Linked DNA regions of Caenorhabditis elegans. The protein of the gene in region 2 purifies or fractionates together with the protein of the main gene of each other region. This does not show direct contact. Each region holds a gene or a part of one and is shown on either strand. Other genes may lie near its edges. The genes, in order: metl-18, emb-8, rpb-7 and cytb-5.1.

Region 1 (8,234 bases), 1.8 Mb from region 2:
TTTTCCCGAAGGTTTTTTTTTTTGAAATTTTTCGTCAAAAATCTCAAAAATGGTGATTTTCAATATTTTTTATTTGAAAAAATGCTCAAAAAGTTCACATTTTGGCTTAAAAGTATAAAAATTTGAGAAAAAAACTGATTCAGAAATCTAAGAAATCCCAGAAAATGGGAAATAAAAAAATTCTGCCTAAAAACGCAAATTTTTCAGCTAATAATCTCGAAAAAGTCAAAATTTGTGATTTTCTAAAATTTTTATTCAAAAAATTTAAAATTTTGACCCAAAATCATTTGAAAAATCGAGAAAACTGACTGAAAATTTTTTGAAAAAATGAAAAATCTCAAAAATTACAGTTTTTGCTCCAAATTCACTGAAAATGTCAAAAAAAAGGATTTAAAGGCAAATTTGGTTAAAATTTGCACTAAAAATGTCAAAAAAGTAGAAAAGTTGGCTAAAATCAGGGAAAATTGGAGAAAAGCTAAAAAAAAATTCCAAAAAAACAATTTTTCCCAATTTTCTGATTTTCTCGAAAAATTCGAAGTTTTAATTGAAAAAACTCAAAAAGTCACTGGAAGACGGCAAAAAAACGAATTTAAGAAATTTTTAAAAATTTTGAGAAAAAAAAACGCAAAAATATTCAATTTTTCACAATTTTAGCTAAATTTGACTGAAAATCTTTTAAAATTCAGATTTTAAATCAAATTTTAATTTAAATTTTTCAGAGAGACATTTGCCAAGGAGCTGGAGACAATGGGCTCGGCCTTAGAGGTCAAAGAAACGGCCTACAACGAGTTGAAGGCTTCAGCCGAGAAGAAAATCGCCAAGCTAACCTCTCAATTTGAAGAAAAACTGAAAAAGGCTCAAAATTCTCAGGATGAAGCTTCAGAGTCTCGATTTAAAACACTTGAAGCCTCGGCGGAGCAAGCGAAGCTAGAATCGGAGCAGAAGCTTAGAGCACTGGAAGAATTGCTGAAAAGCTCGGAGTCTGAAATTGAAGAGCTCAAGATTAAGGAAATTTCAGCAGAGAAGGACAGAAGCCACTGGGAAGTTGAAAAAGAAATGTTAGAAGGAGAAGCAAAAGAGCTCACGGACAGAATTGAAGGACTTGAAGCTGAAGTGAAGAAGCTAACGGCAGCGAATGAGACGAAAGCAGTGAAAGCAGATACAGATGCAAGGAAGGTTGTACGAGAACTTCAGAAAGAAGTCAAGCAGTTGTACAATGAGTTGAATGATAAAAATCAGCAATTTGATATGGTTCAAGAGGAGTTAACACGACTGAAAACTTCAAAAGAAACTGCTGAAAATGGGCAATTACAAGTACAGAAACAGATGGATGAAGAGGATAGAAGAAGCGAGTTTTCGGTAATAAATTGGGAGAAAATGGAGGAAATTTGGATGAAAATCGTCAAAAATGAACTAAAAACCGCTAGAAATTCGAATTTTTGGCTAAAAAAACTGGAAAAAAATGGCTGAAAATTGTTTTGAAAATTGGTAAAACAACTGAAAAAGAGCAATTTTCAGCTCAAAATTTTGAATTTTCCGTTAAAAATCGTGTGTAAAACCTCAAAAAATGTATTTTTCTAATGCTTCCAATTAAAAATAGCTAGAATTTTGGAAAATAGAGTCATCGAGTTTTGGCAGAAAAGCTGTCGATTTTCAGAAATTTCTGCCTGTTTAATGGAAATTTTCTCGTTTTTTTTAAACGAATATTCGAGCGTAAATTCAAGTTTCTCGGACATAAATTTCAGCAAAAATCGAGTTTATGCTTCGAATTTAACATTAAAAAATTTTTTTTTAAATATTTTTGTCATTTTTCCAACACTGACTGAAAATCTCAAAAAAAATCGAGAAATTTTCAATTTTCGAGCACTAAATCCCTAAAAAAGCCCCATTTTTTGCAGTTCAAAGAAGAAATTGCCTCGTTAAAACAAAAGCTTGACGCCTCACTAACCGAAGCAGATGATCTACGAATGCAAGTCTCACGGAACGAGAAGACGCCACGATCCAATGGAAATGCTTCAACTGGCAGAACGAAATCTATGGAATTACACGGAATTGCTGATCCGGCAGAAGCTGAATATCTACGAAATGTACTATATCGATACATGACTAATCGAGAATCTCTTGGAAAAGAATCTGTGGTAAGGGGAAATTGAATTTTTGAATTTTTGGGTGAAAAATCATGATTTTCATGCAATTTTACACTGAAATTTTTCCGAAAAATTGCCAATAATTGGGCGGAGCTTAATCTAGAAAAAAAGTAAAAAAAACCAATAAATGGGCGGAGCTACTTCTAAAATTTTTGAAAAATTGCCAATAAATGGGCGGAGAATTTAAAATTAATTTAATTTAAAAAGAAAATTTAAAATTTTCAAAAAATAAAATTAAGTCAATTTTTTTGAAATGTTTAGTTTAAGCTCCGCCCATTTCTTGGCTCATCTCGTAAAATTTGAACTAATTTTTCTAAATTTTTGCAGACATTGGCCCGTGTAATTGGAACTGTGGCCCGATTCGACGAGTCTCAAATGAAAAATGTGATAAGCAGTGAAGAATCAAGGCAGGCAAGCTGGGCGGCAGCTGTTGGTGGAACTGTTAGCCATGCGTTGAATCGATAATTCGAAACTCTAATTTTTGCTCAATTTTCTCTCATTTTTCATGTTTTTTTGTGTGTGAAACTGACTAATTTTCTCTCAGAATGTGATAGCCAAGAAATGGGCGGAGCTTACGATTTTTGTCGAAAATTTTTGGATTTTTTTTTCAATATTTTCTATGGAAAAAACCGAAAATTGAATTTTTTGAACCGATTTTTTGAAAAATTATTTTTAAAAAATTTTCTGCGATAATCGCAATATTAGTTTTTTCTTCAAAAAAAATTCAAAAAAACTAATTTTTAAATTTTCCACAAAAAAAAAAAATTTCTAAAAATTGGAATTTTTCGAATTGTCTATCAAAAAAAACGCTCGTAAATCGACACTGAGAGAAAATTAGCCAATTACAGGCAAAATTACGTCTTCTTTTAGATTAACCCCCGTAATTAGAGTTTTTTTTTCAATATTTTTCAAATTAACAAAATTCTTTTTTTTGGATATACCCCCTACCGGTTATTAGATTTTTGAAAACAATATCCCCCGATTTTTTTCTAATTTTTTTAAAAATAATTTTTTTTTTCGTAGAAATTCTGTTTCCTCTATATTGTTCTGCTTTATCCTCCCAACGACTGTGATTAATCGCCGAAAAATTTTTAGATTTTTATTTCAATTTTTTTTCGAACAATTTATTGTGTATATATACGAGAAATATATATGTAATAAAATTTTTTAATTTATTTCGAAAAAAAAAATTATTTTTATTTTTTCAAACTTGCGTTAGATTTTTACCAATTTTGATATTTTATCGGGTTAAAAAATTTTTTTTCAGATTTTTTGAAAAATAGTTGATATTTTTCGGGAAATTTCCAGATTAAAAAAAATCATATTTTTCAAAAAAAAAAAGATCAAATTTTTTGGAAAATTTCAGAATTTTTTAAAAACTTCCGGGTTTTTTGAAACATTTCCAGATATTCCAAAATTTTTAAAAAATCAAGTTTTTCGAAAAATTCCAGATTTTTTCAGAATGAACGTGCTGAAGCTCACCAATGGCCGAGAAATCTCCTACTTGAACGAAGTGGAAATTCGAATGGGAATTGATGAGCTTAATGGAGAAGAAAGATACAAAAAAGAGCTGGAAAATATGGAAACGTCCGATATTACAGTTCACAAATATGAGGGTGGATTTAAGGTGCTGATTGTGACGTGAATTTTAGAAAAAAAACGACATTTTTGACTGAAAATTGGAGTTTTTTTAATTAAAAAAAATTATTTGGGAAAGTGAAAAAAAAATGGAAATAACTTGAACAAACATAAGAAAATTTTAAAAAATCGAAAAAAAATCGATAAAATATTGTTTTAAAAAATTTGAAAAAATTAGATTTTTTCTGCATTTTAAATTTTTTGAGTCTCCTTTTTTCTGGAATTTTTAAAAATAATTTTGAGAATTTTTCAGAAATTTTTGTGAAATTATCCGATAAACTAGGTCCTATTTTTCGTGTTTTTCACTGATTCTAATTGAAATTTGAATTTTTTTTCCCAAAATTTTAAAAAATTCAAAATAAATATATATTTGGATTTTCTGCGAATTTTATATTTAGAAATTCAAATTTTCAGAAAAAATGTTTTTTTGAATTCTATTTGCGATTTTTTTTTAATTTGAAGCGTTCGAAATCTAGTGGCATAAAAATTTTGAGAATAGCGTTTTTTTTCAATTTTCTTTCAGAAAAAAATTTGAGAAAAAAATTGAAATTTTGAAATTAAATCCAATTTTGCAAAAAAAAAAAAAATTCTTCTAATATAAAAATTTAATGTTTTTTTTTAAATTTAATTTTTACTTAATAAATAAATTTGCAGATCTGGGAATGCACCGTCGATCTTTGCGACTATATCGAAGAAAATCAAACGCTTTTCGCCGGAAAATCAGTTCTAGAGCTCGGCTGTGGAGCAGCTCTTCCATCAATTCTCACGGCGGTACACGGAGCTAAGGAAGTTTTCGCTCAGGACTTTGTAAGTCTACGAGATGAGTTAAAACAAAAAATTAATCTAAAACATTGCAGAACGCGTCAGTCATCGAGTTCTTCACACTTCCAAACTTCGAAGAAAATCCGCATTCAGCAGTTGTTCAAGGAGAAGCAATGGGATGGGAAGAGGTTCCGAATCGATTGAGCGGAAGAAAGTAAGCAGCAAAAAGACATCAGCCCAATGCGGGGCTCGAACCCGCGACAACCAGATTAAGAGTCTGGTGCTCTACCGACTGAGCTAACCGGGCGGCGATGTAGACTCGTCTTGGTGGACGTTTTGTATAGCGCCCGGCTGGAGACGGGGGGGGGGGGGGGCCTAAGACGCAGAACTTTATGTTATATTCCATTTACCAGATTCGACTTCATTCTCTCATCGGAAACCATTTACAACGAAGATGACTATCAAGCTCTCCACGATGCGGTCGCTGCAACAATCAAGGATGACGGAGTCGCGTAAGATCGTTTGTGTCGATTTACGCAGCAGCTCGTGTATTCCTCGAGGAGAAGAGAGTTTTTTTTTTAAAGCTTGAGACCGTTTTTTTTCTGTACTTAACATGATATTTGGCAATTTTGCTAGACAAAAATCGCAGAAAATCGATTTTGATCACGAAAAGTGAACGTTTTTTGTTGGTTTTTGTATACAAACAACCTTTTTTGTCGAAAAATTTTTTTAAAAATTAGAAAAAATTTTTAAAATGTTGAATTAGCTTTAACGCTTCTTCCCCTTTTTTTAATATCAAAAAGTTCTGAGATTTTTTACCATAAACTTTTTTTCGCGGCGAGACCCATTCTTAAGAATTTCTTAGCGTTTTTAAGTATAATTTTCGATAAAAATAGTTTAAATAAAAATTTTTTTAAAAATCTATGTTTTCTGCCCAAAAAATTGTTTTTTTTAATATTCCGATTAAAATAAATTTCATTTTTCTTTGGTTAAAAAATCGTGTCGAAAAATATAAAAAATATTGAATTTCCTTGAAAATGAGTCTCTTTTCATTGAAAAAACCCACACAGAATACGAATTTTTGCCGAAAACTTCTCCTCGAGGACTACACGAGCTGCGTAAATCGACACATGGAAGAGATTCAAACTCTTCCATTTTCAAGCCCTTCAATTTCAGATGGTTCGCCGCGAAATTCTTCTACTTTGGCGTCGGCGGAAGTGTTCCAGCATTCTGCGAATTTATCAATCAACGCGGAATTCTTCAAGCTTCTGAGGCAAAAGTGATCGCCGCTTCAGTGCCCAGACGGATTGTGGAGATTCGGAAAAAATGATTTGAATTTTTTCGTCTTTTTGTTGTGTTTTTTATTTGTTAAGTTGTTCAAGAATTGTCCTTTTTCAATAAAAACTGTTTCATTTCAAGAAAAAAAATCAGTCGTAAAATGCACACCTACCCGCCATTAGTTTGTAAGTAGAGAGAATAATGAGAAAAATGGGAAAAATGGAACGTTTTGTACTGACAATTTAAGCAGCAACACGTGGTGTCAGAGTGTCTCATTTCGGCTTGATCTACGTCGATCTACAAAAAATGCGGGAGACGAGACGCAGAGTTCTGCACTGATGCTGTATGGTTAAGAACGTGATGGCGTCACTTTTTTTAGGCAGAAAAAAACTCCCGCATTTTTTGTAGATCAAACCGTAATGGGACATCCTGACACCACGTGCGCAAAAAGGGGCTAAAATGACTAGAACTCCTGATGACCGTATCGATCCACTGGCCACATACATTGACAAGAGATTGGAGCATCTGGAATTGTAAATGGATGCCAATGAATTGAACCAACACTACGACGAGACACGTGTACCTAAAAGAAATTAGGAATTGAGTGTGTGTGAAAAACACTATATTTTACGCGCAATTTTTGTGGAAATTTTTGGGGAACCCAGAAAAACACTAAAGTTTACAGAAAAATGTATTGGGAAAAAGGATTTTTCAAGTAGACAGTGCGTACTGCGCAACATATTTGACGCGCAAAATATCTCGTAGCGAAAACTACAGTAATTCTTTTAATTACTACTGTAGTGCTTGTGTCGGTTTACGGGCTTTCGAAATGAATTTTTTTCGAATACTGACATCGATATTCTATTTTCCCTCATTTTTTCGTATTAATTTCTATTTTTGCACAATTTTCATATTTTATCGATAAATAAAAAATTTGAACTCATTTCGAAAAACAAGCTCGTAAATCGTCACAAGCACTACCGTAGCCATTCAAAGGATTACTGTAGTTTTCGTTACGAGACATTTTGCGCGTCAAATATGTTGAGCAATACGCATTCTCTGAATTTAGTGTTCCCGTAATAAAACAATTTGCGGGCTTCTTGCATCATATTTTACGCGCAAAATTTTTTGAAATACATGGCCACGCTCTCCTCAAGTGTTCATAATTATTAGAGCGCGCTCGAGCGGCACCTCACGAACTCCAGAATTCGCGGGAATTCGTTTTTCCATAGAAGCCAAAAATAGCCAAAAACTGCTGTCCCGGCGAAACGAATTCCCGCGAATTCTGGAGTTCGTGAGGTACCGCACGAGTGCGCTCTAATAATTATGAACACTTGAGGAGAGCGTGCGTGGGAATTTGAAACTACTCACAAAATATGTTTAATTATTTACTTTTTGCTCAAATAATTAACAAAAATGTTTTTTTTTCAAATTGTCTTCCGAAAAATCACAGTTTTCTCTGTGATTGCACAATTTTTTATTACTAAAAATTTGAAAAAAAAATCACATTTTTCCAGAATTTGCCCGTAAAACATGGTGCATTGAGTGTGCTCACACAATGCGTCACACCTTACGCGCAAGAGTCCATCTACAGCATTTTCGCTGCGAGACCCAAGAACTCACATCTGCATACTGCTGCACACAACGTAACATTCCCTTGAAACACGTCTGTTCTTGACCAGACAGTAGACTTCCAATCGGTGATTGACTATTTAGGCAACGGACTTCCACAACAAACGGAGGGTCAAATTCGTGACTGGAAAAATTGGAAACTTGAAGGTCCCGGTGAAAGTGCGCTCTATTGAGACAATCATAATTATCTCAATGGGGCGCGTCTTTAATATAAGACGGTACAAACTTTTCAGTTTTAGGATCTCTATTTCAGCTGATTGGTTTAGAAATTCTTGAAAAAATAGATAAACGGGTGAAAATTATCGATTTCTAAAAAATCGATACTCACCTCTGTGTATTCAATTCGACTATTTTCCGCTGACTTTCACATAATTCTTCGTTTTTCTCTCGCCGATTCTAAAAATATCGATTGATTTTTCTTTGCAAAAAAAGTCACTCTAGCACACCTTTTTGTGATGATGATGATGACGTCTATGATAGGTTACTGTAGGTGGAGTGGTCAATGTACTTGGTATTGATTTTTCCGATCGAATTCTCGAGGCCAAGTCACTGTCGTCGTCGGATTTTTGAGTTACCATTGACATCTCATACAGCTCGTCTGTCTCGTTCATTACTGATGGCTGAACAATGTTTTTTTGTGAATTTGCGCGTAAAATATGGTGTATTGTTTTAGTGTATGCAAGAAAAATTGTGCTAAAAATTTGAATTTTATTCCCACTAAATTTCAGATGCCTCACTCAATGCGCCATATTTGACGGGCAAAAAACAGCCCCTCTC
Region 2 (8,954 bases):
TGTTCTCCCTTTGCCTCATCAATTTACTGGTATAGCTGTTACAATTTATTGATTTTTTTCTTTGAATTCTAACTACAATTTACACTGAATTATCGATATGAAATTTTTTACTTTAAAATTGTGAACTTCAGCATGATTTCAATTAAAGTGTTATTTTTCGGAGAAGCATGTCAGCTGGTCGGAAAAAGAGAAGAAGCGGTGGGCTTTTATTATTAGACGGAAACAATTTGGATAATTTTGAACTTTTAGATTGATTTTCCCGAAGAGACCGATTATGAAGAGATTCGGAAAACAATTTTAGAAGTAATAATTTACAGATTTCAAATTAAAAAATTGAATATTTCAGAATTACCCAGCTCTTCAAAAAATTGAAAAGGTTATGATGCTCGCAGTGGATCAGGAGTGAGTTTTCAGAAAATTGAGGTGCAACCGCGCTCTACGGCCAAATGGAAAAGCTCCGCCCCCAAAAGTTAGGTCTCGTTAGGTATTGGCAGCAAAACTGTTAATTGAAATGTTTTCAATAGCTTTTCATCATTTTTGTTATGTTTCGCGTTGTTTTTAAAGAAAGCTTTCGGAAGTGTCGTTGCCAATACCTAACGAGACCCAACTTTTGGCCGTCGCACATCTCTGCGTCTTTATAATATGTCGTTTACAGATATGCCAACCCCGGAGATCGTTTCGAATTGGTTCGCTTCACAGAAATCGCTGTAATTCCTCCATTGTCTGGTGGATAATCTTATTGTGATAATTCTTGTAGACTCTGTTTATTTCAATGAAAATTTGTGATATATTTGACAAAAAAAAACTAGAAAAGTGGGTTAGTGGGCGACAAAGGGTGCAAAATAGGGAAGAGAGGCGAAGTTTATACCCGAATTTCGAATGATTTTTTTTCTCTGTTTTGGGTTGAAAAGAGCTGGGCGATTGGGTGGGAGGTTATCACAGAAAAATGGGAAAAGGGGGAAATGCAATATTTTGTCTAAATCACAGAAAAATTACTGAAAAATTTTAAAAAAACTGAACAAAAATGAAATTTGAAAATTATGACCACACATCAGCTTGGTATCTTTTTGTCTTCTCCATATCTTTGAAGTAGGCGACAGCTTCCGTTTCAGATTTTCCTCCGATTTCTCTGAAAATCTTCTGAAGTGTTGCCTGAACGTCACGAGCCATGTTGCGGGCGTCTCCACAAATGTAGACGTGAGCTCCAACGTTAATAGCATCCCAGATACGATCACGAGTCTCCCACAAGCGATCTTGCACGTAGATCTAAAAATATCTTATTTAAAAGTCAATGAAACACGGTATCCTACCTTATGTTCCTGAGCTCTGGAGAAAGCGCAAACCAAGTGTGTGAGCACTTCGTCTTCTTGGAACTTTGCCAACTCATCTTTGTAGATGTAATCATGATCTGGATGACGGCATCCATAATACAAATGCATTGCTCCGATTTCCTTTCCGGCATTTTTGTGGAATTGACGATCTTGGAGGAATCCACGGAATGGAGCGAATCCTGTTCCGGGACCAATCATAATGACTTGAGTTGTGGTACGGTGGGGAAGACGCATTGTTGATTTACGAACGAAAACTGGAGATTTCGATCCGGCGTCCTGAAATTATTTGGATTTTTTTTTGGAAAAAGAAAGTGTGATAGTGAGAGTTTTTTGAGTGAGAGTACAGTGAGAGTTTTTTGAAATTTTGTTTTAAAAAATACAAAAATGAACCGTGATGGCCAAATATAACTGTTTAAAAATGTAATAAATTTTTCTAAATTTTTTTGAAATGGTTTTTCAATTTTGCAAATTGAAAAAAGAGATAATTATTTTTGAATTCCCGCGCAAATGCATCGTCCGGTTATGACATTTTTCTTAAAGTAAACTTGTATACATTTAAGATTTTTTTGCGAAAAAATGTCTGAAAATTTTACAAACTGTGCTTTAAATTGAAATTAGCCAGAAAATGCAAAAATGCCAAAACAGGGTGATTCATTTGCTAGGGAATTCGAAAATAGCTATTTTTCTTATTTGCAAAATTGATAAAATTATGAAAAAATTTGAAAAAGTTATATTCGATCATTACGGTTCATTTTCTATCATGTGCAAAAAAATTTACCTTGGTGGTCAAATATCTTGTACAAACTCCATTGATATCACGATCACCAATAGAATATTTAGTGACAACTGCACAAATTGCAATCTTTTCCTCATTTAATCTCGGAGATGAAGCAATACTGTAGTAACGGGCTTGAAGACGTGGAAGAAGTTCAAGAAGATACTCAATTGGTGGTTTACATGTCTTTTGATCAGTCAATACATCGACAATTGAACGACGCTCTTTGACAATGTATCTGGCGTACTCTTTCTGAAAAAAATTCAATTACTTCAAAATTAAAATTTAAAAAAACTCACCAAGCCCTCCTCATTGGCAGTTGATAACTTATTAAGGAATTCCTTTTCAGTATCATCCGTACAATATTCACTGATTGCTTTGAGCACATGAGATTTGACTGGAGCACAAATATCAACATAATGAGAAAGAGCAGTTCGGAATGTGGTTGGGCATGGGAATGGATGACGTTTTGATGCATCTTCATCAACGTTCACAAGACGGAATGCGTGATCAGGATCGAATTGAAGCATATTAATGAGACGATCAACAAGAACTGGATCATTTGTTGGGAAGACAGCCAGATGATCTCCTGCTTCATAACGAATACGGGATCCTTCAACAGAGAACTCAATATGTCTACAACTACGATCAGAATGTTCGGTATGAAGTTCATCATTGATCGCAACAGTAGCCAAATATGGATTTTTGACATCAAATGGTGGACGTGGACGTTCATAAGCTCCAAGTCGTCCAAATTCTCCCTTGAAAAGAGCTTTTCCTTCTTCAACTGGTTCCAATTGATATTGTCTCATTGTCTCGGCCTCTGTGTTCAACTCCCATCCAAATTCTTCAGCAACTTTTGGCAAGAAAGCTTCTCTCCAAATCATAAAATCTTCTTCAAGATTAGCATCATCATCTCCTAATCCCAAATGAAAGATTCTCTTGGCTCCAAGTTTTTCAAGTTGTTTGTCCATTTGAATTCCAATCTCATTAAAATGTTCATAAGTCTTATTTCCAAGTCCAAAAACTGCAAATCGAACACCCGACAGATCACAGTCTCCAGCATTCAAATATTCAACAAGTGTCACTGCATTATCAGTTGGATCTCCTTCTCCATATGTGGCAATGCATAGTACCAAAAGAGCATCCTCAACTTCACTCAAACGATTCAAATCTTCACATTCAATATCTTCTGGATCAACGACAACAGCCTTCTTGGTGTAACGAGTAAGATCTTTAGCAAGACGTCCAGACATTTCTTCAGCTGTTCCAGTTTGAGATCCGTACATGATAAGCACCTGAAATTAGAGAATTTTGATTCTATTTTCTTTAAAATTCCATATCAATTTACCTGTCGGTTCTCATTTTTCATTCGATCAATGAATGATTGATTCGATTTCGAAGCCGCAGCTGACGTGGTGACCGATGCTACGGTTGGCGAGTATCTGAAATTTTAATTTCAAATGTAAAAAAAATAATTTTCTGCATTTATTTTTAAAGTACCTGCTAGACGATGGTTGCTGATTGAAAACCTTCATGAAAAGGAATATAATTGCTCCACCAGCGAGCAGAGTGAGCACCACAAGGTCTGATGTGTCGAGACCCGACACAATCCACGCCAGCATGTTTAGAATGAGAGTTTCTGAAATTAAAGAATTATTTGAAAAGGAAGAGGGAGATATTGAAAAAGTAAATAAATAAGAAGTTATAGTTTAAACATGTTTTAAAATATTGCCGCTGAATTTTGCGATGTTTGCGCCGAGAAAATGACAAGTTTTTGTTAAATGCGCGTGCGCCTTTAAAAAGTACTGTAATTTCAAACTTTCGTTAATGTTGAATTTTAATTGATTTTCCATAGTTTTTTAAGTTTAATTTTATGTGATTTTTATTGTTTTCATGCATTTCTTTATTTTTTCAATAAATAAATAGTTTTTAAACAAAAATGTGTTTTTTTTCTGTTTTCAGGTGATTTCAGGTACTTAGAAAAATCCCGAATCAAACGAAAACAGAGGAAAACTCTGAAAAATTGATTGAAATGGCGCAGAAACGTTAGTTCGAAACTACAGTACACTTTGAAGGTGCACACCTTTTTGTATTTATCAAAAATTTGGCGTGTTGAGACTGGGTCCAGTGTTTTTGGCGCAAAAACCACAAGTTTGTCGCACTAAAATATATGTATTTTGAGAAATATCTGAATTTCTATCATATAACTGTAATAAATAATTTTTTACAAAAACAATTTCAACTAAAAACTTAATTTGAGATACGATTATCGTATAGCAAATTCAGTGAGTCTTTTTTCAAAAAAAAATGTACAGTCAATTTGTGTGAATGAATGGGAACATTAGACATATTGTTCTGTCTGTCCCCTTAATTTGGTCTTACAGTTAAAGAAAAAGAAGAAAAAACAAAAGCTACAGAAGAAAAATCGAATTAAGGGAGGGAGGTATATTGAAATAAACAAAGATACGCCGTGAGGAAAAGTTATTAGTGAAAAGAAAGTTGTATTTGCCAAGAAGGTGAGTATTTTATAGAAGCAGATAGTCAGAGAGTTTGCATCATTTTTTGAGGTTTGTGATCGACACACATAAAATATGATTTGGTGGTCGAAGAAAGATACTTCGAGAACACAAAATTTGTCAGACTTTGTATTGACACGTAGACTAGAGTACTGTTTAGCCAAAATTATCTTCTGAAAACAAAACTTCTAAAAACTATGTAATCTTAAAAAATTTCAGACATTTTGCAAGTACAGTAGGAAAATGCTTAAACAAAACTAAAACAAGGAGTCAGGAAAAATTGAAACAAAAAAAAACTGCGGCACAATATCTGATATAACCCAAGTAATTTTACGGCACAAATACAGTACCCAAGGTCTCGACACGACGAATGTTTGTTAAATATGAAAACACGTGCGCCGTTAAGGAGTACTGTAATTTCAAATTTTAGTTGTTGTTGAATTTTCATAATTTTCATCTCGCTATGTTGAAATTTGAGTTTTTAAAATAAATATATCTATTTTTTATCGAAAAACTTCGAAAAATTGTGGGAAATTCCGCAACAATGAAAATTTGAAGATACAGTACTCTTTCAAGGAGCACGACTTTCTACATTTTACAAAATTTGTTGTGTCGAGACCGGGAGCAATATTTCTGAAAATTAAATATTACTTGGTCACAAAAGAGAGTCAACTTTTGTAATAGAAATAAAATAAAATTGGTTATTTCCACTATTACAAGACTTTCAGAAATAATTAGTCGCCAAACGATTGTTTCAGTCAAAAATAATTTCCTAATTTGAATTAAACGTCAATTCAAGTCATGCGATGAAATAAATGACTGGTGAATAACTGTTGAAATTCAAAGATTGTCTGGTTAGGTTTAATCATTGATAAGAATTGAATTGAGAATTAGAGAAGAAAAGAAATTGCGAATTTTGTTTTTAAGTTGATAAGTCAAATAGATATGGACTGATTACACCGTCAAGCATTTTCTGTAGTTTATGTCACTTTTATCACATTTTGACAAAATTGGATGTTGTGTACGAAAACCACACGCAAAGTACGGTTTTATCAAACGAAAATGCGTTTTCTACAAAATTTGAAGTTCAAATGGAAAATCATAATTGTTTGCACGTAGTTTTCAATCAAAATATATCGTCACACTTGAGTTAAAAATTGAATTAGGCCCGATACAATGAACGGTCAGTCATCGAAGTCGACGTACATAGGGGCGCAGACAACACACACATTGAAGACGTGGAGGATTTCATTTTTTCCGGTTTTAATACAAGGAAGAGAATAAGAAAGGCAACAGGTGCCACTTTTAATTGGAAATCAAAAGGTTATGCGGAAGTCTGAAGAAAATCGAAAAATGTTTGATTTAAAAAAAACATCTCAGAGCATGATTGTAGAGCATAGAGTTGGTTGCCTAGGTTTCCATCTCAAAGAATAGGCTGTGATTGCAGGTGACCTGGCTACAGTGTACCCTTTATATTATCAAGAAGGATATCTCGGGGTTTTATTTTTTCTATGTTTGATGTCAGAGAAAGAATATCGAAAACATTATAGCGTCCTCATTAACGAAATTATCGGGAGGGTTTTTTTTTGATAAATGGAGAAGCGACATTTGGATAATTTGTTATATTATACTCGAAATAGTCCCAAAAGTTTCGAAAAAATTTTTTTTGTGAATTTCTGTATATGTGAAAAAAATCTATGAAATGTCACGAGATGAATGACAAAAAATTGCAAAATAAATATGAAAATAACCGAATATTTAAGTAATAATTTGCGACCGCTGCGACACGGAAAAGTTGGGAAAACTGGAAATTATTGCTGAAATCAGGTTTTTTTTTCGAAACTTTTGAACAGCCATGAAACTTTTGAGAATTCTTTGAAAAGTTTCGTGAAATTTGGATTTTAAGGGCATTTAGGGTATAATGAAGCAAAACAATTTTGATCGAAACAAATAAATTTAAAGAGACGAAGTTCAGGGGAAACATCTATAAATCGTGGAAAGAGAAGAAAACGAATATCCATTAATAAAAGTAGGTCAAATTGAACATCGAAAAGAAGAAACAGAGAGAGAGAGAGAGAGAGATCGTCTAGAATAAATCAACTACAAATGAAATCTTTCTTTTAAGCAATTCAAGCCTTAACAGTCACATTAACTATACACGAAGTTCCCCTAATACGACTATGATAGAGATAGAGAGAGAGAGAGAGGAAACAATTGAGAGGGAGTAACAGCCCACAAAAATCGCTTGTTCTTTTCTTCTTTCTCTTTCTTGTCTCTCTCTCTCTTCTCGTTCTGTTTCTCTACCTATCTCTCTTCAGTTCATGTGTTATCTATAATTGTTTTTCTCGTGAACAACTACCTCTATTGGCTACACTTGATCTCAAAGTGTGGTCTATGTTCTAGCCATTTTTGTACGTGTAGTTTTTGAAACCGATAGAAATGTGGAAAACAATTATGGCGAGTTTTGTTGGGGGAAACCGAAATTTCTATTTGAACAAAAACTTTTTGAAGATTCAAGACGTGGAATAGAACAAAAATGTCTAATTTATGTATCAAATTTGCAAGAAGATCGTGCAAAATACTCGAAATTCGGCGTTGTTCTCGAAGAGTCTTCCCCGATTCTCAAAAGATCGGTATCGGAAAATAAGTCGAATGATTTGAAGAAAAGATAAATTCGGTCTATTTCCATGAATATTATGCATGTGAAAAGAAAAATCGGGTTTTTATACGATTTTTTGAACTTGTACAAGATTTTGTTGGTGAAAATCGGATTAAAACATCGAACTAGAAACATTCAACCGAAAATGATTAATTTTGAATTAAATTTGTGATCATCGTCTAGAAAATTCTAAAAGTTAAAAAAGAGAACTAAACTACAAACCACGGATCAAAATGACTGTGTTCTGCTTGTGGTTTATGCTTACAAACACGTAGAGAAAAAATACAAATATTTTCAAAGTGATGGAGGCAACAAAGATAACAGTATGTTTTGATCATACGGAAGTAAAAATAGAAGATCAACAGATTCTTCACTGTAATTTCTGAAAATTGGTGTTTCAGCCTTAATTTGACTACTGGAAGTTCGAATTGAAATACATAGATGGATATATTTCTTTGCAGAAAAAACAACTCGATTGAAAAAAATTCATATTCTTACAAAAAAAAACATTCATACGTTCTTACTGAAGAGACAAAAAAAAAAAAGTAACCCATAATTGAAAAGAGAATTAGAAGAACGATAATAAATAAATGGGGTCGGGAAATGAGGTCGGGAACGATAATAAATAAATGAGGTCGGGAACGATAATAAATAAATGAGGTAAAAACGATAATGAAAAAAGAGAAAGCTAAAAATCTCTGAAAAGATTATAAATGAACATGCTATAATTGTACAAGTACGTCCTTCTGGGAAAACAGGGCGAGCTGGAATATTATTTTTTCTTTCCTTTGATTTGGTGCTCAATATTTTTCAGTTTCTCCTCGACAGTTCCAGAAGCAGGCTGAAATTTCAAAAGTTTCAACGATAAAAAAAAGATAAATAAAGCTTACAATCTTGAAATTATGTGTCGGGTTCCTCTTGAGATGATCAAGAACTGATCCAATCTGACGCATAATAGCTTGCTGTGCGTCTACGATTCTCTGATTGTTTTTGAAGTTTCGTCGTGAGGTTTGCTCCACAATGTTCGTCGGGTCAAAGTCTCGTTGACCGTTCTTTGGAAGAGGTTGTTCTCCATGAGCGGTCAGAAACTGGTTGAGCATTTCTTCTAGCCATTTCTCCCGAGTCATTTTCTGAAAAATATACACAGATTTTGTGATGCAAATATTTGAAAAAACTCACAGGTGCTCTCACAACAGCCTTTCCTTTGACTTTTGACTTTTTTGGCGCAGTAGCGTATCTTTCTTCGTTCTCAGAGTCTGAGTCATCATCTGATTGATCTCTTCTATTTCTTCTCGAAACTCTTTCAATTGGTCTTTTAGCACGTTGGCGCGGTGCTCTGATCGTCAGTGCCTCTTGCGACTCATCCGATTCTTCTCCCATAATCATATCCAATTGTGAACTTGGCGCAGTTCCAGCTCTACGAGAAATTTCGGAAACTGCGGGTGAGATTGCTCTTCCAGTACTGTGCCTGCGTTGGACTTCTGCGATATGACTGTCATGCGCATTGTTTGGAATGGGTTCCATCTTGACAGATGTTGTTGAGAATGATTCTCCCAATCTGTGACCACCAGTGGATGAATGAATTCTTTCGTGACTTTCTATCTTCGCGACGTTCAATAGACGAGACGAAGAAGAACAGGATGATGCCGAGCGAATAGAATTTTGAGAGT
Region 3 (7,435 bases), on a different chromosome or scaffold from region 2:
AAAAAAATTTTTACGAATTAAAAACTCCTGCGCGGTCCTGAAAAGAAAAACATATTTTCCATGAAAAATATTAAATTTGTCTTAAAAACTAAATTTTCTCTGGATTTTTCGATGATTTCCTATAAAAATACACCCTTTTTCCACTGAAAATCCCTTTTTTTCGCTCGAAAATAATTTTTTTGCAAAATTCAGTACCTGACGAATATTCATCTGGCGGATCTCGCTGAACATCGCAACATCGGGAAGGAACTTCATCTGAAATGGGATTATGCGAGTTTTAAGTCCAATTAAAGAATATAAATGAGGAGAATATAAAAAAAAAGATATTAAAAATGGTAAAAAACCAAGTTTTAAGTTCCAAAAAGCAAGTAAAACCAATAAAATGAGATCCTTTAAGGTTTAAACGTAACAGATGGATTTTAAAAAAAGTAAAAATTAAAATATTGTGAAATAACGTGGTGATAGATAAATTATGATACAGCGAATCGTTGAAAACCAGATCATTCCGCTTGGCACAGTCCGAGAAAATCGTCCATCAAGGTTCCGATGGCAAAAATGTCGTTAGCATCGACACGTGTTCCGATGAGCTTCACACGGATCTCATCATCATTCCGAATCACATTCGCCTCATCATTGGTCTTGTAGCACGGTTTCTCACTGTTCGGATCGAATTCCATGTCTGGTGGAATACAATGACGACTGATGAAGCATGAAAGTGGTCCGATATCACAGAAAATGCCGACTTTATTGACCTGTGTGACGACTCCATCGACGACTTGTCCTTTGAACGGGCGGAACACGATGGCCTTGTAACGGACCGGGTAGATGACGAATCCACGGCCAGGCTGGATCAGGCCGTGGCCGATCGTGTCGATTGTGGTGACTGCGATGACGAATCCGTACTTTCCTGTGCACGTTCCCTCGACTTCGTTGAACAGCTTCATTTTGATGGTTTCGTTCAGGTTTGGACCGAAATATTTCGGATGGAGGCAGACTTCATGGTCGAGTGACAAGTGGAAGAACATCTGAAAGTTCTTAAATTTGTATTTAAAAGAGGAAATCGTAACGGTTCTGGGTTTTTTAGTGATTTTTTTTGGTTTAAAACTCAAATTTCTATCGATTTTTGCATGTAAACTCTGTGTTTCAAGCATAAAAATCGTTTTTTAAAATTTAATTTTTACTATTAAAACAGGAGTAATTTTTAACGTTGAAGATCCAAAATGTGCTCAAATGGACGAATTTCGTAATGAAATTTCTCAAAATTCCGAAAAACCCGGCTAAGTTCACTTGTTCAGTAAGCCCGTTCAGAATATACCCAGATTTAAACCAAATTAAAACCGTACAAGCCTATATTGTGAATTTATCTGCACAAATTTGGTTTGGATCTACACAAACCTACACAAATTCAGTTTACATCTACTCAAACTTGCAATCTATGCAAATTATGTTTGAATCTAGACAATCTTGGTTTACATCTGCCCAAAATTAGAATTTTTCATAATATAGGCTTGTACGGTTTAAATCTGGGTATATTCTGAACGGGTTTACTGAGTGGAATAGCGAAATTTGGCCACTTTTCCGCGTCGCGGCGATGGAAAGTTCACTTTTTTTTAAATTATCATCCTTTATTGCTTAAAAACGTGAGATAATCGATCAAATTATGCAAAAAGAGATGAAAATTCCAAAAAAGTCCACTTCCAATCGCTGCGACATGGAAAGTAGCCAGAATTGGAGATTTTACCCGACATAAAAAATGTTCGAGCACTCTTTAAGAATTTTTATTGCAAAATTCGCTTATTTGAGCATATTTCGGTCTTATACATTCAAAATACCTAGAATCTTTACTCCTAAAAGTTAAAAACCCCCTTAGAGAAATTTTATGCACGAATTCTGGATTTTACACACAAAAAATCGATTTCTGATCAAGTATTTATTGCGTAAAACAAGAAAATTGAGTTTTAAAACCAAAAAAAAACAATTAAAAACGAAAAAATCCACCAAAATCTATTCGAAAAATAAATAAATTTCGTACACGAAGCGTAAGCGCACCAGTTGCGTGCCAACGAGACGAAGAATGCGCCAGCAGGCGTCCTTGGCGCATATCTCGTTTTTCTTTTATTTTGCCAACTCCGCTCGGTTTTTCCTCTTTAAAATCGAATATTTCACATATGTACACACTTTCGGCGGGTATCTGGGAGAAATTCTTCAAGAAAAAAGACTATTATGTGGTGATAGTCGGTCTGGATAATGCTGGAAAAACTGTAAGTCTCTTGAATTTGAGATCTCACCGATTAATATCAGAAATTATCGATTTCAGACGTTTCTGGAGCAAACAAAATCTCACTTTGTAAAGGACTACGGGGTTCTGAATCCATCAAAAATCACGGCGACAGTTGGTTTGAATAGTAAGCCTCTAAAATGAATTAAAAATCAAAAAATTTTTTTTTTCAATTTTCAGCTGGAAATGTCGAGCTCAACAACACATGTCTTCATTTCTGGGATCTCGGAGGCCAGGAGAGTTTACGAGAACTCTGGGCGACATATTACGACGATGCAAATGCCATGATTTTTGTTGTGGACGCAACAAGGAGCGATCTCTTCCCAATAGTAGCATCTCAGTTTAGTAAGTAGTTTGAAATTGAAATAAATCAAATTTATACCAGAAATAATAATAATAATACGAATATTTCAGAAGAAGTAATGGCCAACGAAATAGTTCAAAATATTCCAGTTTTAGTAGCGGTGAATAAAAGTGAAATGGAAGGAGCCGCCGCTGCCGCTGAGGTCAGATTTTTCTCAAAAATCGAAAAAAAAAACCGAAATTCCTGCATTAAAATCATATTTTCCAGGTCCGAATGCTGCTCGAAGACGACAATCACCGCTCGGACCTTGCAGTTCTTCCGGTTTCGGCGCTAGAAGGAACAAATATCGAAAGATGTGTTCACTGGATCGTCCGATCGTTGGCTAGCCAGCCATTATACCTTTAACCTCTCGGGTAGCTGTATATAATAATTATAATCTATTGCATACTGACATGAATAGAAGAATCCTGTGATGATTTCCTAACCTCACTGCAACTTTTTTGAATGAGGGACGAGGAAATACGGTTTCTAGGCCACGGCCGGGGATCCGACAAGATTTAGCGGCAATTTATTTTGCTTTGTTTTCCGCGTTTTTTCTTTGGTTTTTCACCGATTTTTCTCCCGTTTTTTTCTTATTAACACTGATGAATAAATATTTTTTGCAGATGCTAGAACAATTTCCAACTGAAAAATTGTGTAGCGATGGATTACGGGAATACTAAACCTAAACTTTTTCCGAATCATGAAATATATGCTGCTTAGAGGCTGAAACTACCTGATTTTCATAACGAGACCGCTGAAAAAGTTTTGAGATTTTTAAAATTCAACTTTTTTGGTGAAAAAGTCGATATTTTCGCACAAAATGTTGAATTTTAAAAATCTCAAAACTTTTTTTCAGCGGTCTCGTTATGAAAATCAAGTAGTTTCAGCATCTAAGCAGTATATATATCATGTTTCGGAAAAAGTTTAGGTTTGGTATGCCTGTAATCCATCATATTACATTGATCATTTTCACCGCTTCTTGCCGATTGTTCTAGCATCTGCGAAAAAATATTTATCCATCAGTTTTAATAGGAAAAACGGGAAAAAAAACTGTGAAAAACAAAAAAAAAAACAAGCGGAAAACAAAGCAAGATAAATTGCCGCTAAATCTTGTCGGATCCTCGGCCATGGCCTAGAAACCGCATTTCCTCGTCCCTCGTTTAAGAAAAGTTGCAGTGAACCCCTTCCCCTCTACCATGTTTTAATACGGTTTCGGCTGATCTGACTTATTACACAAAAAAATGATATTAGTATTTAAGTATTAAATATTTTTGTTTATATCGTGCAATAAAAATTCTTTTTTTAATTGATTATTTACAAAATTTCAGAAAACGAAAGCTTGTGAGTTATGAGATTAAATAGGAATTGGCACCGCGTGGATGGTTAAAGAGATCGGGAAAAATAAAACGCTACTCCAGAAATAATTCGAGTTCGAGAATTGAAAAATATTTTAAAAATTTGAAAAAGTGGAAGAAAAATCAATAAATCGATAATAACTGTTGAAATTAAAAGATCGATTCGTGAAAAGAGGCAGAGCGTAATTTTGCAATCCTGCGGCACGGTTTTGCTGATTTTTTCTATAAAATTTCGATTTGAATTCTCTTTTTTTTTTAATAAAAAGACTATCCAATTTAGTTTTTATTTAAAAAAAAAGAGAATAAAACGGGCGTCAAAATAGGTGGAAAAACCGTGCCGCAAGGTTGCGAAATTACGCTCCGCCTTTTTTTCTGTGCACGGCTATCGATCGTTGACTTCCAACAGTACACCAAGAATTATCTAAACTGGAGTAAGTGTATGAATTGGATCTAAAAGAGAACTATCGATAATTTGTGTGGGATCAGCGGCGAGAGAAGTCGCCGAATTTCGGCGTTGTTGAGGAGTTATTGCCCATCGGAAGCGTTCGTAAAGTGTGCCGGTACCGCTGAGCAGGTAGATTATTGCGAAGACAGGAATTGCGAGGACTGAGAGAAGTCTCAGGAACCAACCTGGAAATATTGGATTTAAAACTAATTGCTTTGAATTCTCATGCAAAACTTATATTTTTCACGTGGTGCCAGGCTGTCCCATCACGGTTTGATCTACAAAAAATGCGGCATTTTTTTCCCCAAAAAATGTGACGTCAGCACGTTCTTAACCGTGCAAAATCAGTTGAGAAGTCTGCGTCTCTTCTCCCGCATTTTTATAGATCAACGTAGATCAAACCGAAATAAGACACTCTGACACCACATGATTTTTTCATGATAGCGCAAAAAATTTCCTCTGGTTACGGTAGATTTAAAGGCGCATAGCTAACAAATATCTTTCGTTGCGAGGCCATAGCTTAAAAAATTTTTGAATTAAAAAAAAACATCAATTTTGTCTTTTATTTTAGTTTTTTCAAGAAAAATATTTCTTGCGCGTGGGGGACTGGCGAAAAAGAGTCTCGACACGAGCATTTTTTGTTTTCTGAAAAGGTGTGTGCCTTTGAAGTGTACTGTTGTTTCAAACTCTATTACGGAAACACAAAAATCTGAGAATGCGTATTTCGCAACATATTTGACGCGAAAAATATCTCGTAGCGAAAACCACGGCCCGGCGAAAGAGACGTGGCCGCGAGAGCTGCGCCGGCTAGGCCACCGCCTCCTATGGTTAAGATTTTTGAACGAATAAACATTTTTAATTTGGCTGCTAAGCTCATTTATCTTTGTTTTTTCTCGTTTTTTCTCATTTTTATCGATAAAAATATATTTTTTGTTGCAGAAAATCACAAAACCGCGGCAAAACAGCACTCAACCGCCAACTGGGAGGAGGAAAATCCGAAAAAAGAGTTTTTTCCATCTAGTGAAAAAATCCTATAGAATTTTATATTAAAAATGCCTTCATAGCATTTGTCTTGATGCCAGCTTTCGAAAAAGTACAAGAAAACAAACTTTCATGTCGAAAAAATCGAGAAAAATTGAAAAATGTGAAAAAAATGCACTACGGAGATTTTCGTGTCTGGAAAATCCCAACATTCCTATAGAATTTCGATATTTTTTTGACGTTTTTGCGTTTTACTGGACGAGATCTTTTTAAAAACACCAAAAAATCGAGGCCCCATGTTCAAAAAGTGAACTTTTTTAAAAAGAAAATTTCAATAGTACTGAAATTAAAAAAAAATTTTTTTTCGAAAAACTGTATAGAATTTCGATATTTTTTTGACATTTTCACGTACTACTGGACGAGATCTTTCTAAAAAGACCAAAAAATCGAGGCTCCATGTTCAAAAAGTGAACTTTTTTTAAAAAGAAAATTTCAATAGTACTGAAATTTAAAAAAATTTTTTTTCGAAAAACTGTATAGAATTTCGTTTTTTTTTTGACGTTTTTGCGTTTTACTGGACGAGATCTTTTTAAAAACACCAAAAAATCGAGGCCCCATGTTCAAAAAGTGAACTTTTTTTAAAAAGAAAATTTCAATAGTACTGAAATTTTTAAAAAATTTTTTTCGAAAAACTGTATAGATTTTCGATATTTTTTTGACATTTTCACGTTCTACTGGACGAGATCTTTCTAAAAAGACCAAAAATCGATAGTCTATGATCAAAAAGTAAACTTTTTTTCGAAAAGAAAATTTCATATCAAATTCGAAATCAAATTTGTCACGAAGCTGACGTTGGACCTTTCATTAAAAAATTTTTCCAGGATTTTATACTCCGATTATTCGTCTTTTGGATACGTGATGGCTGATGTTTGGAATCGTTTATCGACTCATCGTTCAACAGGAAGCGCCTAAAAACGGCATAAATCGCTGCTGGAATGCAATTAACCTTGGTACTTTTCGATTCATTATCCAGGTAACAGTGGATGGCAATACTTCAGTATGAAGCAAGTGTACAATATTCATAATATGGTTAGTTTCCAATAAGATAATTGTAACTTAAAAAATCAGAATTTTTTTAGAATCAACCCTATTGCGAATGGATCGCGCTGCCACCGCCGCTGCCACATAAAGATGCCCGAATAGAACTCGTATAAGCCCCGATTTGGACTGACAGTTACACCACCTATGGCAGAAGTCCACGATGTTTATGGAATCTAACAAACTCCTAATGAAATTTCCAAAAAATTGCGTCAAGATAACTGGACAAGAAGAAAAGCTAAAAGGAAATAATCTCTCTTATCGCAATTTCTAACTGATCACTTACGGATTAGGTCTTTTTGCAATCTTTTAAATTTTTATTGAATATCTTTTACATTTTTATTAAGTATTAACATTGTTATTTTAATATATTAATAAACGAATTTCAATAATAACACGCGTTTTTCAATAATCAAATGTGGTATTATACGATTTAGGGAATTTCAGGGCTCTAAAACTCGAAAAAATTGGCCAAAATCGAGAAACGTTGCGAAAAACTGTTTAAAGTATCGATTTTCTTCAATATCAGCAACATACAATCCTTTAAAATGATTATTTTTTGTAAATTCGATAAAAATTCATTTATTTTTCACAACTTCTGCCCGAAAATTACCGAAATAACCAGCGTTTCTATAACTAAGAAAGTGTCGTCAATTAAAATGCCGCGTCCGCAAAATGTCGTACGAAACTTTTCGCTGAGTATCAAACGTTGAATATTCAGTCAGCCAAATTTTACTACGGTAGAGATTTTACAGCCACGTACGGTTCGCCGGGCCGTGAAAACTACAGTAATTCCTTAAATGACTATTTACTGTGTTGCTTGTGTCGATTTACGGGCGCGATTTATCGATGGAATATTTAAATTAGGCAAAAAATGAGAAAATAATACGAAAAAACGGAATATCGCTGTCATTATTCGAAAATAAATTTAT
Region 4 (7,244 bases), on a different chromosome or scaffold from region 2:
GAAGTAAGTCATTCTATGAGAGTTTCTCTATATTATATATGATGATGTGTTTAGTTCGACTGTCGTGTAATGTCAATTTGCATGGTACGGAAAGATATGGCCTATGTGAGCTTGATATCAGGGTATTTAATTGCAGCACACGTAAACAGTGAAAATGAGTGGTATGTTAACTTAATTTATTGCAAATACTAGTGTATAATTACTATTTAATAAAAATTGTGATTAACCATTATTTTCGATCAAAAAATTGTAGGAGCATTTTATGGGAGCTCAAACTTCCCGACGTGGCAACTTTTCTTATTCACCAAGAGAACACTCTGTTTGCTGGGCTCGCCAATGGTATTCTCACAGTCTTTGAAAACGCTGGAGAGCGTTGGCCAACCAGTGTCCAAATGTGGCACATGCCACTCAGTTCCTCTCCGTTGACAAACGCTGTTATTCATGACGATACATTGGTTGTAGCAACTGCTTGCAAGTTAATAACCCTCGATGCTCAATCTTTGACGACGCTATCGACCACCCATGTGGCATCGTCTAATGTTGGATCGGGTGTGATTTATTTTGATAAAGTGAGTTCACGTGAAAATATAAATGAGATGAACTCATTGAACTTAAAAAAACACAAAAACTGAAAACCTAATCAAATCAAAAAAGTTTTTATACTCATAATTTCTGTTGCCAGTGTAGTTAAAGGTGGGGTACCGAAATCTGAGAAATATTTTTAATTGACTCCAAATTTTCCCCTGATTCCGAATTTCCTTGATTTTATATTTGAGCTTAAAATCGCGATTTTCATTTGTGCACCCACGAGCTTTTTCAAATGCGTGCCGAAATAAATTATCGTTGGAGCGCGCTTGCTTAATTATTCGGAATCATGGGAAAACTTGGAGTCATTTTAAAATATTTCCCAGATTTCGGTACCCCACTTTTCAAAATATATTCAATAATCGGACCAATGAAAAAAAAATCTATCGCCTTCTCAGATCACCTGTATGACCGAATCACCGTTTGGTATTTTTCTAACTACCAACCACTCAACATTAATTCAACTATGGCATGACACCGCCTGCAATTTGTTGTATGATATTTCTTTCGACCACAAAACACGGTTATTTCAGTTGTCAATAACAATGAATATTGGAAAGTTTTTCAGAAAACCATCACTATCAGACACAGAAAATAGTAACTATGTAGAATCAATGCTGTTTAATGATGAAACGTTATGGTTGGGCACTTCTGATGGATACGTTTTTATTTATAACGTTGAAAATGAAACAGGAAAGGAGGAAGTAAAATATAAGCTGAAAAGGTTTTGATTTTAATTTCAAATTTAAATTTACAGTGTTTTCTTTCAGATTTCCTGGTGAAAAACGGCCGAGTCGGCGTGGATCGTCTGCAAGATCTCAAAGACTCGGTTCTCTTATTGAGAATAATGATGAAAGTGATGATAATGAAACTGTACCAATCTTTTGTGCTGAAAAGCGCGCAAGTCGGGTTAGCATTTCCATAGACAGAGAAACACACCAATATAGCAGTGAGAAATTCTATTGCAAAACATAATTCTGAAACATTATAGTTCCAGTTGCTTCATTCCAACAAAATCCAGAAGATGTAGATTTTCCGGGCAGCACATACAGGTAAAACCATACAAAAAATTAGAAAACACAACTATTTTTCAGCAGATTAAACAGCTCTTCATCGAAAACTTTGAGATCTCCCATGAAAAAGGGATTTAGTGCGGATTCGGCGGTTTCTGTTTTCAGCTCCGAGCCCAATGAGTTAATTGAAAAATGCGATGAAAACTTTCTGTCAGTGAAGAAAGAAAAAGATTCTCCGAGATTCAGGGACAATAGGTTTTTATTCAAAAACTTCTGACCAAATTCATTTTGTAATTGCAGATTCTTCAGTTCAACGAATTCCAGTTGTACTTCAATGGAATATGACGACACTTTTGAGCTATACTCGGATGAAGAACGATCAAGAAGAAGAGTTGCAATAACGTCTCATAAACGATTTGGTTAGTTTGGAATTTAAATATTGAATTCGTATTGACAAGAAATTAAAGCATCCGGCATAGTTTCAGCCACTCCATCAAAACAACTTAATCTTCAGCGGAAAGATTTAACATTTGATGATCCGTACATTGTCCCAGTCCCAGGTACATCTCAATATTTTACCGCACAGTTTAATGATCGCTTTTTGTTTTCAGAAAGTGCTGATAAAGAAACATCGAACGATGTAGAGGACAGTGCAGTGTATGGCCTCATTATAATGTACTATCAATAAGAGAGTAACATGGTTTTTTTTGCAGGGTCTCCAGCGTCAGGTTGTCCTTGTTCATGAAATTGAAAATATCGGAGACTTCCGTCAGAAAGATAATTTCTAGCGGGTGAGCAAAGTTTCAAGAGTTCACACAGTTGGAATGACGCAATTTGTGAACAAAGTTTTTTTTTCAACAATTGTTAAAGCGATTTTTTTACAAAATTGAATTGAGAAATTGAAGCTAAATATTGGGTAATGTTTTTACTAACTTAGTTAATTAGTTAACTAAGTAAGTGTTATAGAAAAATATAAACGACTTCAAGATTTTTTTTCGTTCACGCAACATTCACTCACTTCATGACAAGGAACTTATGGCATATCCAAGAAATTTTTTTCAGCGAGCACCACATTCTTACCTGCTCTGGAGAGTTTGGCGCCGACGAAGCAGTGTTGCTTTGGAGGAAAGATATTTCCACAGTAACTAATTCCAAGTTAGCTAACATAAAAGCTGTTTAATTTCAGAATCTTTGGATCAATGATCCAGTAACCCACGAAGTTCCAAACATACCTCCATCGTCAAAAACGTCCTCTTCAACACCAGCTTCCATTCAATCATTATCATTTCGATCGAAATGAAAACAAAATATTAAAGTCCCTTTTCAGTGTACATATGTTAATCACAGTGATGTATTTATTTTCGATAATAAAATCACAAAATGACATTTATTGGATAACAATGAAAAAAAAATCAGTTTTTTTTAAGTAAGATAATGCCCCAGTTTTCAAAATCATGGCGAAAATAGTGGATCAACAGTGATTACGCAGCGATAAGATAATAAACAAGAGCAACAATGACAGCAAGAAGGGCGAAGTAAACAATGTTGTCGGTTTGCATTGACTCTCTGAAAAAATATTATTATTCTGAGCTGAGATGCAGCGTTTAGTCAAAAGTTAACTTTTAAAATCATTTTTAAAAAAGTTCAAATTCAAAATAAAAGTATAACCCTACTTACCCTCCTCTCTGCTTGTTATCCTGTTCGGTGGTAGACTTCCATTGCTTCTTGTCATACGAGTAGGTTTTTCTCTCAGACTGGAACACAAAACAAATGAATGAAAATTATAAGCAAAAAAGGCAAAAACTTACTGCAACGACTTCTCCGATCAAATACTCGTCCTTCATATGCCTAGCGTCAGTGGAGTGCCCAACATCCTCGAATGCCTCAGTTCCATCACTTCCAGCCTGCTCAAGAAGGACCTCGCAACCTCCCGGATGCTGAAAAAAAAACATTATTAATTTTTAGTTTTGATGCGCCACGTGGTGCCAGCCTGTCCCATTACGGTTTGATCTACAAAAAATTCGGGAATTTTTGCCCCTATTTGTTTTCAAGTATTTCGATATCTTAATCGTCATGGTTTTGATTGTATCAAACAGTAAATTTTGTTTTAACGATAAAATAAGAATACATATTTGAAAGAGACGGTAACGGCTATTTTTGATAAAGTTGATGCTAAAAATTTTTGAGCAAGAAATCCTATCAATTGCAGAGAAAAAATTTAATTCCTTTTCATTTTTCATAGATGTCAATTTCTTTCTATTGATCAACAATGAATCTGCGTTTGTGTTATTCGTACCGTAAAGTGTGGTTTATGTCTGCCTACGTGCTTCGAGTACGGATTTCTAAATATCAGAACATAATCTTACCTCGTCCAAGAACTTGGTCACATCAAACACCTTGTTTCCAATTACAAGCCATGCTGATTTGTTTGTGTTGTGCTCGGCAATTTCCTTAAGGGTGATTTGCTTAAGATCGGCCATTCTGAAAATCATTTCGTGTTATTAAAAAATATATAGATATGAGAAGTATGGCAATAAAAAACATATTAAATTATGTTATTAAAATACAGGCCTGCAATACAAGACAGAAAAGACAGCAGCAATTGTGTCAAGGATGAAGAGAGAAAAATAGCTGACCAAGTTGAAAGGAGAAATAGAGAAACATGGGAAAGAGAGCAGAGAGACAATTTGAACAAACAAATAATAACGGCGGAGAAGAAATGGACGAGAGAATTGGGCAAAAGGAGTAGTGTGCCTGGGAGGGTGGCCTCGCGATGATCAATAGGCAATGAGACTATACTCTAACCTGATGTCATGACAACAGAACATGAGCATAAAGCACATTTTGGGAACACTTTGGAAATGTTAGTTTTGTGATTTCGAAACATGTGTATAATAACCAAAACGTTTAAAAGTAGAGATTCTATGAAAAATGATGAACTTACTTACTTACTTACTTAGTTAGTTAGTTACTTAGTCAATCCGTTCTTCAGGAATTCGGGGGATTCCTGCGGATCACAGACAATTATTCAAGAATTCATATTTTTTGAAAGTTGAATTTAAAAAAAACACCTGCAGTTTTGTTCGGTTTGTAGTGGTTTCAGACTGTTGACTAGTCGATTCAAATTGTCATACTTCATTATTGTCAAAAAAACGTTGTGTCAGAGTGTCCCATTCCGGTTTGATCTACGCAGATCTACAAGAATTGCGGGAATTTAGAAACAGACTTCTCAAGTGATTTCACAAAGTTGCTGACGTCGCATTTTATTGGGAAACAATTTCCCGCTTTTTTGTAGATCAAACCGCGATGGGAAAGCATGACACCACGTGAAAAAGAGTCCTTATTTTAATTCTAAAAACGTAAAGCTAACATCTCAATATTTTGAAAGACGTTGCTTCAAATAGAAAGAAACAAATTAGTCGAAAAAAACGTACATTTATATTTCTACTAAAAACTGTATAATAAACGAATCATCTCAAAACAACTGTTTATATCAGAATCTTAAAAATAAATTTAAAAAAAAAGCTTCAATTTTCAAATTTAGTGGAAGTGTTTAAAAAGGCAAATAGAAAAAATAAATCCAACTCTATAAGTAACGGTAGTTTTAATGTTTTAGTTTTTACTTAATTTAAAGCTGAAAAATAAAACTATCTACTTGTTGATTTCACAAATAGTTGCGTCTATTCATTCCAACTTTGGAGAGAAACAGAAATTGGGATGACCTGGATAGAACAAGAAAAGGGGAAGGTGCATGAGATGAAGGGCGAGATGTGACCGCCAAGGGATTAATGTACGCAGGCTACGCAGGCAACGTGGATCCGTTCCTATCGATCGATATGCAACGAAATGAAAATAAGTCTAGGGCTGCGTAGCCTTTTATACCAGTTGCTATACGCTCTCGCACCAGACCAAAGTAGGTTCGCCAGTATGGTCAAATGGGGCTAGAGAATGCTAGAGAAGAGAATCTATGGTTTGTAGTCTTCGGAACACACGTAGTCAAAGTAAATTTTCAAGAGAGAAAAAGAGTAGGAGAGTGATCAAAGGTGGTTGTGTATTTGATAAGGAAAGATTGTACAGATTGAATTTAACGTTGAGGAGAAAATAGACAAAGTAGTTTGTTGGTCATATTGACTACATGTTAAATTCATTTTCAATTTTGGAGGAAATGTGAGTAATACGACGAAACATTATTTTGCAAAATGGAACGTATCGTCGAAAATTTTTGAGTTGAAAATCTAAAGAAACATTTTATTTGAAACTATTCAAAGTTGGCTATTGCTCTTAAAGAACAATTTTTCCACAGTGTAACGTCTTTAAAAAACATACCTTATAGGCGGAGTACCGATATCTGGGAAATATTTTTGAATGGCTCCAAATGTTCCCCTGATTTCGTATTTGGGCTTAAAATCGCAATTTTCATTTGCGTCCCCATGAGCTTTTTCAAATTTGCGCCAAAATAAATTATCCTTGGAGCGCTTTTGCCTCATTTAATTTTCTCCTTATATTTTTACTTTCTTTTTCAGTTTTTCAGCTATTTTCGTTCATTTTTTGATAATAAAGTGTTCAATTCGCAGGAAAGAATATATTTTTCAAAACAAATGAACGAAAATAGCTGAAAACTAATTAAAAATATGCATAAAATTAAATGAGGCAAACGCGCTCCAAGGATAATTTATTTCGGCGCGGATTTGAAAAAGCTGATGGGGACGAAAAAGAAGTCGCGATTTCAAGCTCAAATATAAAATCAGCGAAATTTTTTTGAATTTTTTCATTTAGATATTCGGAATTAGGGAAAATTTGGAGTAATTTAAAAAAATTTCCCAAATTTCGGTACTCCACCTTTAATAATGTAACAACATGCGTTAAAACTATTGTTATCTCAAATATTCATTCCACTTTTTTGTATTTCCAAAAAGTTCCGAGCAAAAGAGCTTTTTCGTAATCTTATTTTCTCTATGGAATCTGAAATTAGTTTGTCTTTTTTGTAATTATTCATATATACTCACAGAAATGTGCTCACAGAATTTCAAAAAAAAAACCAACTAGATTCATTCAATAAATCAATATTTTATTAATAAAATCCGGGTATTACGTGGCGAGTGGGCGGGGGTGCGACAATCGAAAAATTTCAGTGACAATGGTGGAAGGGAAATCATGAGATATGAGAAATCATTGTTGTGATGGGGAAATCGTATACATAGTATGAACACAAGTTGCAAAATGGCAAATAAAGCAGCGAAAAGAAAGAATTATGGAATGTTTTTTTTTGATTTGTGTGTCTACTTCTTGAACGCTGCATAGTCCAATTCCCAACTTTTTGGGAGTTCCGAGGAGTTGTTACCAGCACCCGCTTTTTTGAAAAGATCTTGTTCCCAGGTGCTCATATATTTTCTCTTCTGGAACAGCAAGTCGCTCAGGGCATGATACTGAAATTTCCGACTTTCATTTGTAAGGTTTCAAAATGTATTCTTACTTTGGCATTTTCACGAGAAGCGCACTTCACCAGATGGCACATTTTCTTCGTGTCAAAGCTTAGACGGAGATTTCTCTCACACAAGTTTCTGCGTTGATCTTTCAGGAACTTTGCCTTTCCCAGCCAATCCGACAAGAACATGCAAGCATCGCTTGTGTAGCCAATGTATGCAA

Evidence for each region.
Region 1: the proteins of emb-8 (region 2) and metl-18 fractionate together in Caenorhabditis elegans (co-fractionation; one large-scale study listed by BioGRID). This does not show direct contact.
Region 3: the proteins of emb-8 (region 2) and rpb-7 fractionate together in Caenorhabditis elegans (co-fractionation; one large-scale study listed by BioGRID). This does not show direct contact.
Region 4: the proteins of emb-8 (region 2) and cytb-5.1 fractionate together in Caenorhabditis elegans (co-fractionation; one large-scale study listed by BioGRID). This does not show direct contact.

What each region holds. Positions count from the first base shown.
Region 1 is NC_003281.10:3,422,132-3,430,365, forward strand, and holds metl-18 (protein-histidine N-methyltransferase), read left to right. Parts: upstream 1-3,606; 5' UTR 3,607-3,609; coding exon 3,610-3,774; intron 3,775-4,439; coding exon 4,440-4,592; intron 4,593-4,642; coding exon 4,643-4,761; intron 4,762-4,767; exon of another isoform or gene 4,768-4,861; intron 4,862-4,960; coding exon 4,961-5,059; intron 5,060-5,723; coding exon 5,724-5,877; 3' UTR 5,878-5,963; downstream 5,964-8,234. Other genes in the region: golg-4 (GRIP domain-containing protein), read left to right, coding at 720-1,359, 1,899-2,138, 2,475-2,612; K01A11.1 (Spaetzle domain-containing protein), read right to left, coding at 6,289-6,408, 7,449-7,581, 7,786-7,853, 7,904-8,077.
Region 2 is NC_003281.10:5,195,930-5,204,883, forward strand, and holds emb-8 (NADPH--cytochrome P450 reductase), read right to left. Parts: upstream 3,749-8,954; 5' UTR 3,732-3,748; coding exon 3,610-3,731; intron 3,552-3,609; coding exon 3,458-3,551; intron 3,405-3,457; coding exon 2,406-3,404; intron 2,359-2,405; coding exon 2,110-2,358; intron 1,608-2,109; coding exon 1,311-1,607; intron 1,267-1,310; coding exon 1,039-1,266; 3' UTR 751-1,038; downstream 1-750. Other genes in the region: moc-6 (Molybdopterin synthase sulfur carrier subunit), read left to right, coding at 133-198, 250-303, 347-402, 656-734; ATPase morc-1, read right to left, coding at 8,057-8,125, 8,175-8,414, 8,464-8,954.
Region 3 is NC_003279.8:3,030,838-3,038,272, forward strand, and holds rpb-7 (DNA-directed RNA polymerase II subunit RPB7), read right to left. Parts: upstream 2,102-7,435; coding exon 2,033-2,101; intron 1,026-2,032; coding exon 501-1,025; downstream 1-500. Other genes in the region: sec-11 (Signal peptidase complex catalytic subunit SEC11), read right to left, coding at 196-255; Y54E10BR.2 (ADP-ribosylation factor-related protein 1), read left to right, coding at 2,169-2,261, 2,318-2,405, 2,459-2,623, 2,693-2,784, 2,850-2,987; mod-5 (Transporter), read right to left, coding at 4,401-4,609.
Region 4 is NC_003284.9:13,998,759-14,006,002, reverse strand, and holds cytb-5.1 (Cytochrome b5), read right to left. Parts: upstream 4,080-7,244; 5' UTR 4,079-4,079; coding exon 3,965-4,078; intron 3,536-3,964; coding exon 3,407-3,535; intron 3,353-3,406; coding exon 3,276-3,352; intron 3,165-3,275; coding exon 3,080-3,164; 3' UTR 2,923-3,079; downstream 1-2,922. Other genes in the region: tbc-19 (TBC1 domain family member 2B), read left to right, coding at 1-3, 55-161, 254-569, 984-1,108, 1,154-1,309, 1,356-1,534, 1,583-1,637, 1,680-1,853 and 6 more; C31E10.6 (CCDC93 N-terminal domain-containing protein), read right to left, coding at 6,878-7,024, 7,072-7,244.